2 linked regions of the Drosophila melanogaster genome follow. The protein of the gene in region 2 interacts with the protein of the main gene of each other region in a pairwise test. Each region holds a gene or a part of one and is shown on either strand. Other genes may lie near its edges.

What was found.
Region 1: the proteins of CG15365 (region 2) and Obsc interact in a two-hybrid assay, tested with the Drosophila melanogaster proteins (one large-scale study listed by BioGRID).

Annotation. Positions count from the first base shown.
Region 1 is NT_033778.4:24,012,375-24,016,134, forward strand, and holds the start of Obsc (obscurin), read right to left. Parts: upstream 1,881-3,760; 5' UTR 1,488-1,880; coding exon 1,479-1,487; intron 665-1,478; coding exon of another isoform or gene 662-664; coding exon 540-661; intron 482-539; coding exon 350-481; intron 286-349; coding exon 115-285; intron 60-114; coding exon 1-59. Other genes in the region: CG4324 (uncharacterized protein), read right to left, coding at 2,599-2,884, 2,947-3,341, 3,394-3,465, 3,528-3,653, 3,712-3,760. UniProt on the Drosophila melanogaster protein: Structural component of the muscle M line which is involved in assembly and organization of sarcomere.
Region 2 is NC_004354.4:9,066,263-9,070,022, reverse strand, and holds the start of CG15365 (uncharacterized protein), read left to right. Parts: upstream 1-2,039; 5' UTR 2,040-2,515; intron 2,516-3,760. Other genes in the region: CG10970 (uncharacterized protein), read left to right, coding at 1-269.

The DNA.
Region 1 (3,760 bases), on a different chromosome or scaffold from region 2:
AGGTCTTGGCCACCATATTCGGCTGGTTGCTGTAGCACTTGAGGCCCTCCTTCAGCACGCTGAAAATCCAAGTGTTAACTTCGTGTACTCCAGTTCACCCCATTCGCTTCTTACTTGTTGTGAAACTCGGCGATTTGCAGGAAATTGCAGAATATGATATCCTTGTTGTCCCGCACGGAGCGCGGCACCACCGGCTTGTCGATGCCCTTGATGTACTTCTCCACCACGTGGAGCAGATCCCTGGAGAACTCCTCCTCAGTTTCCACCAGCTCCCTGAGAATGGTTCTACAACGGCCATTACAACTAGTATCTATCTGTCCAACTGGATGGAGTGAGTTGAAGTCCTTACAGTTTCCTAAACTCCGCATCGCCGCTCTCCTTGCCATTCGAACTGCTCATGGTGGGATTGAACTCTAGTATATCGATGGGCACCCAGCCTTCCTTGGGGGAGTCCCCGCTATCGAACATTCGCACAAAGCATCTGGAAAACTCACTGCACTAGAGTACCATACCACTTCTCGATGAACTCAATCGCTCACCTTGACTTTTCGGATGCCTTCGAACTTATCAGTTCGACCAGATCCCCGCGAGAAACGCTGATCTCGTCCGTGGCCAGCGACTGAGCCTGGTAGTCCCGACTCACAAACACGATATCCGCCACCTGCTGGGTAGAACCGATATCTTAAGTACGAACTTTCTTTTCTATAGCTACTCTCTTGGTTCACACACACATTTCTATCACCCATTTCGATACTTCAACACAAAAATATATGTACATATATCCCAAATAGATCGTTATAGATCTGTGAGTTTTTTTAGGGTTTATGCAATTGGTGCGATATCGATTTGATCTTTTGACGCGTTCGACTTCGCTATTTCACAAACAAAAGTGGCTGAGCAATATTTAGCCCGCTAGCTGAAAGTCTATTTTGCGTTGACATAGACACGCGGGCTCGGCTATTTATTCCGATGTCCAATTTTACTGAGTGCAAAGCTTGTGCAGCCGAATCAGCTGATCCCCCGATTTGTTCCCTCGAACAGGGCTCTTCACTTCGGGCCAATGATCCGAGACCACAGTGGAACCACAGTGGAACCACAAGATGGATCCTAACCCACTTCGCGTCAGAGGTGGCTTTCACTTTCGAGAGGAAAATATCTGTGCACCGAGTATAAGATACTATTAGGGTCCTTCGGTTTTAAGGTCACTAGTATCATCATCTTGAAGCACTCAAACTAAACTAAATAAAATTGCACTTTTATTCGTCACTAGCTGGTTAACCAGTTTACATTCACATTTTGCAGTTGGAAAAAACCATTGACTAAGTGCTATTTCCTAGCAAGGACGTCCACTGTAGCTTTTGCTCACACAATGTATGTACATATGTACATCTGGTTTGCCCAGAAGTATTAATAAGTAAATTTGGCACATGTTCATAGAGACCGATCTATAGTGTATTTTCCGGACACGCATAACTTACGGCATCCATTCCGGCTGATTTGAATATTAAGACTTTGTATCACTCGATTAACTCGACTTCACACACTTGATTAACTCACGCACATTGGCACGAATTCGAAAATGTATTGCATAACTTATTACTGGGGCGATTTCGTTTCGAATTTTCAATGCACTGGATTTGCACTGGATTTAAGGCATTATCGGCATTAGCCCAGTATCGAAAACTACGAAGACTAGTCTACGGGGCACTCTCGAGTTCGCTTGTCATAACTGAAAAAGTCGAGGAATTTTCCGCCTTTCCGCGGGCCAGGCCGATTCAAAAGTGGAATAGATTTAAATTTAAACTGCGGTCGCGTGAGAAATATTGGCTACTGCGTGCGGATACCAATGATTCTAACTGCATCCCGACAACTGTACGACTGATCGATATTCGCCGATCACAACAAAAGCTCCCCTCGAACATCGTTTCACAATTTAAAAATAATGCCCATGCCCATGCACCTCGCACTCGCCATCCGCATCCCCATCAGTATCTGCAAATGCATTTGCATTTGCATCTGCATTTGCATCTGCATCTGCATCTGCATGTGCATAGCCATGTGCTTAGATGCCGAACAGAGCGGACGGTCTGAAAGTTTATGGCTGTCAGAGGAGTGCATATAGATTTCGGCACCCAGAGTGCGCCAGCATACATATTTAATTAAGTATTATAATATATGCGCGGGCACGAAGTTATTTATACGATCCCATACGTTATTCGCAATGTTTATGGTCAGAAATATTGGCTTGTTTAATTAATTTGCAACTGCACTTCCTCCTGTCACCTGTCAGCAATGTAATCATAAATAAGAGGAAATTGGCCTACAAAGTTGAGATTAGTCACCAATTAGACCAACACAAACGGGTAGTTAGTAGTAACACCTCCTTCAACTGAGTATTTATGCCAATGCTAGACTAGAGCTTTCCCTTTAGGAGCTTTGTTACTTGTTAGAAGCATCTTAATCTATTCTAGACTTTTTAGATTACTACTAGCCCGCTAAGCCTAAAACTAGGCAATCCGAATGAAACATTCACACAGCTTCTAGGGACTAATGGGTTTAATAGTAGTTATAGATAATAAGTTATGGTAATCAGTGCACTCAGTGGTAGCCAACAGTTTCCCTGGGCAGAAAGACGCAGGCTATGGAGGCCAGCAGGCCCACGATTGCGTACGTGGACATGGCCTGAATTCTGGACGAGTCCATCAGCACCTGCGCCACGAAAGGGGTCAGCATGGCGCCGAGTCTGGCCAGCACGGAACAGCCCGAAACTCCGACGGATCTCAAGGCAGCTGGGTATATTTCCGGAGTGTACACATAAATGGCCTGGAAGATGCCGGATATCGTGCCGCGTGCAATGAAGAGGGTTACGGAAGTGGAGAAGCGACTAGGATTGGAGGAGGATTGGATTGATTATCAGATGATCAATTGAGTGTGCACCACTACTACCTTTCCACCGACATCAGCACCAGAGTGCACAGAACCAGCGCCAGGTACTGCAGAACAATGGTTTTCTTCTTGCCAAACAGCTTGACCACCTTGATGGTCAGCAGTATTCCAGGAAACTCGGACAGGGTGATCCACAGCAGGTCCATAAAGTCGGAGGTCATGAAGGTGACGCACTCATTGGGATGGCTCTCCTTGTTCCTGGCCACCAGCAGCTCGGTCGTGACCAGCACCAGGCCGTAGTAGCAAAAGGCCGAGGCCAGCCAGAGGAACCACAACAGGATGGTGGTCCTGTACAGGCTCGGGCTGAGCAGGGATCTAAAGCTCTCCGCGCAACTGGGCTCGTCGTCGGCCATCAGCCGACCCATCAGCATGTGGCGCTTGTTGTTGTGAGCTATCTACAATCGTAGGTTTTTAGACGTATAATCACTCCATAAAGTTACCACTCACCTGTTCCAGAACCTTGATGGCCTTATCATTGTGACCGTTGTAAGAGTAATAGCGAGCCGATTCACTGAGCCACTGTAGTGATTTAAAGATACATTTGATTAAGGATATTTCTGAAGAGAGCGAGGAATACGAACCGGCGATAGGATGGTAAAAATGAGTAGGGGTGTAGCCGAAAGGGCCAAGAGACCTCGCCATCCGTAATAGGGATACACAACCAGTGCTAGGACCACTTCAAAGCAAGCTCCCAAGGCCCAGAAGCACTGAAACCAGTACAATATATTCAATAAATACGTTTAGCACACGGTGGCACGTACTCACGTCCATCAATACGACGCACTTTCCCTTGTGCTTGGTGGGCAGAAACTCA
Region 2 (3,760 bases):
TGCGTGGCAGGGTGCCCAAGGATGCTTTCGAGCTGTTTGCACTGGTCCAGGCCAATGCACTGGGACTGCGGGGATTCATTGCCCAGGTGTCGGAGGAGAAGTTCAAGGGTCGTCTGGAGGGCGAGGGCAAGGTGATCGATGCCTTTAAGAAGCTCATCCTGGCCGCCGCCGATTACGTGCAGGCCATCAAGGAGTTCATTATTAAGAATCTGAAAGTCATCCAGGAATACACCTACAAGACCTTCGAAATCAAGGTGAACCTAAAGTGATTAAAGGATCAAACAAAATAAAATATTTCCAATGCATAATTTTGTTTAAAACGGCTATCAAAAGTTTTATCCATTATGATTTGTCTAATATTTTTGTTGTATGGATATAACAAGGTATTTTCCAAATAAAAATTACACAGTTATATAATCACAAATTCAAAAGAGTTTCCTAAAGAGCTGATTTATACAACAAGCAATTTCCCAAAGAGAAGAACCTGTATGAAAATGCCAAACTTTTCATGGGCTCATTGTGGATTGAATGATTATTGTTGCGATTGCTGGATCTGGGCAATTCTCCAAATGACCCATGGATTCTCACTTACGAGTACTCCATCGTTGGTTCTAGGACCCATTGCGATCGTGACGAATGAGCTAATGATGTCCATGATCCGTGGGAGGGGATAACCTTGTGGCCATCGCCGCCGGCGATCGGATATCAAATCGAATCGCATGCCTCGGATGCATATACTCGTAGTAAGCTAGCGATGTTCCCGGCTGTTTGGCATGCAAATCGAAGAATCTGATCGCCACCTCGATCGACACGATGAAGGTGTACCACTGGACAACAGCGAACATATAGCCACGGATGGTTATTTATGCGTTCGCGGATACAACTGCCGATTCACTGAGTTCCAGACTTCTCAACCAAATAGCACTGGTTAACAGGCCAGTGAGAAGTGGTAGATTTGAAGTTTAGTTTTTCTATATTAAGAAGATCATCTTAGTCGGCTAAGCACAAAACGTTACCATCTCAACACTGCACATCGGGGGGAATTATCAAAGTGTTCTTTTGTAGGCCAGTGTCGTGTATCTGCAGTGATATATGGACAGCTAAACTATCTTGGCTCAAGCAACGTTACAATTTTATGGGTCAATTTGCGGACGGCCATTACTAGAATTTGTGTGTGTGTGTGTGTGTGCAACAGGTAGCCAAGTGTGTTTTACACAGAGGAAATTAAAAAATCCTTGGTATAAAAATCCTTCCTCCTGAGAAATCTTAAGGTTCAAATATATTCCAGTGAAGAAACTAACCAAATATTAAATACTATTAAATTTTAAATACTATACTATTAAATATCAAATACTATTAAATATTTTAAAGAATTATCTGTAAGTAATACAATTTTCTCGCTGTGTATCTATGAATGTAAGCAATGAACCTATATGCGAAAAGCCACAAAATTGAGGGAAATTAACCTAGGCGGCGACTGCGACTTGGACTAATGCGGTTGCCGCGAACATATATGTTTATACATATGTTTGAATCCCAAGTCTGGATCCGAATCGGTATCCAAAATCAGAATTAGCCGCTTAATTGCAGCGCTGTGGCAACGCCAGCAAACCGGAAAGAACGGCGACAATGATTGCCAATCCGATTCGCAAGCAATCAGTGCTGACTGTACGTCATAACACCAATAGAAGCATAATTAGTATAATTATAAGTTATAAAAAGTAAAGAGTATGAGAAACAGCTACTACATTTAGTACACAATACATTGATCTTTTGGAAAATATGCTTATGAAAGTGATTGAATCCTTAGCCAACAAGTTAAATAACTGCATGAATCTCTAAAGTACAAGTTATATTCTTCAATTTTCAAGTAATTCGTACACATAAACGTTTGCAATCGAATGAGAATGTCATTTCGAAGATGACTCTTTTTTTTATAAGCTTTTGAAAAAAGCTAAGCTCTCATCTCTGATCGCCGGCGCGCCGCAGTCGCGTCGCAGTCGCCGTTCGCTGCTTCCAATTCCGACGCTCTGCAGCTCAGTTTGCTTTGAGCGCTGGAACGCGAAAGTCGTCGACGGAGGGCCAACGTTGCGGATGAAAGTTTCGAAGCGAACTGGGAAGATTTTTGAAAAGCGCAGGCGTGCAACGGTTTTTTTTTTTTAGTTTTTCTTTTTTTTTTTTGGGGGGGTTTGGGCTACGCTTCGCGGCGAGCGGTGAATGGCAGCCTTTTTTTCGAGTGTGGTGGCTGAGTGCAATTCAAAACGCATTTCGTGCATAATTTGTGGAATTTTACGCGTTGTAAAATCAATTTCATTGTGCAAATTTGAAAACTTGCCTGCTTTCCGTTGGCTTTCAGCGGCAACAGCTGAAATATAATGCAGCCACATCAAGCGGGCAAGCAATAAACAAATATCAAAAAAAAAAAAAAAACCAAGAAAATTTACAAAATATAAAAACACACACATTTGAAGAGTCAACAACAGCGATTACAAGGCACTAAAAACCAAAGGAAGAGGTGAGCAAATATTTCCATTCATTTGTTATTCTTTCGTTGGGCTTAAAATATTTTCGTATTTTTTTTTTCTTGTTGCTGTCTGATTTTTCGTTTATTTTGGTTTCGCTGATTTTTTTAATTCGAATGGAGTACACAGAAAATAATAGAATATGTTGAAAATTGTAAGATTTAAACATAATAATATATTTATTATGTGGCATTTGAAATTGAAAACGTGCTAAAATCAATTTGAATTCGACCTGCCTAGCTTGATTAGAACAAAGTAGTACATGCTCTTTTCGCACAGTGTGCCTATCCCAGCTGGCTCACACACACACAGGCACACGCACAACCTCTTTAAAGTTGTCGCTGTTGTTGTTGTCCTCATTTATCTGGACTCAAAGAGCTGAAGTTCGGAGTCGCGGACTCAAAAACTCTGAGCCGTCGTCTTCGATTATTGAGCCGTTTGACTTTTTCCCAACTGCCAGCGAACCTGTTGGCCCCACAGGCAAAAAACAAAAACTACAGCGAAAATATATACGAAACTGGTGAAAAAAGTAGATATATATACATATATATATATATATATATGAAAAAAAAAGATGAAAAAGATGCTCTGGTCAGCCTCTAGAAATAAGCAAGTATCTGTCTTTGAGCTCTTTTCTCTTCTCAATCTTTTGCTTTTTTGCTTTTTTTTTACACTCGTAAAGCCCATAAAGTGCCGCATATACTTGACCTATCCGAAACTGCGGGTTCTACCCGGGGGGAATGGATAATGGATAATGGATAATGGATAATGGATAATGGTCGCCGAAGTGGCCGAGTTGCTTACTGGGTTGGGTTGGCCAGTTGCACTTGGCCTTAAATCGCTTTATTTTACCTGGAAAATCTCTAATTCGTTCCGACGGAATTCAGCGATTTTATGTTGAAATGTCAAGTGCAGAAAAATAAAGTGGTTCTAATAAATATGCAAGTGAAATACATAGATCACTAACAATCCCCTAGATACCTCTTAAAAAACGATCTTTATTTTAAATATACTCATATATAAAGTTTATGAATATCCTTAGTGAATGCAGTAAACAGAAGGCAATATAATATGTTTTTGTAAGTGAAATACTACTTATTTAGAATAATATTCTATAATATATTTGACAAAGACCTGATTTTTTGTTCACTGTGCAATCTGCTTTTGGGTTGAGAGCAATTTTCGTTTGGATTTGGCCCCTCCTCGAGGCCCCTTTAAAAATTATTATTATTACTCTG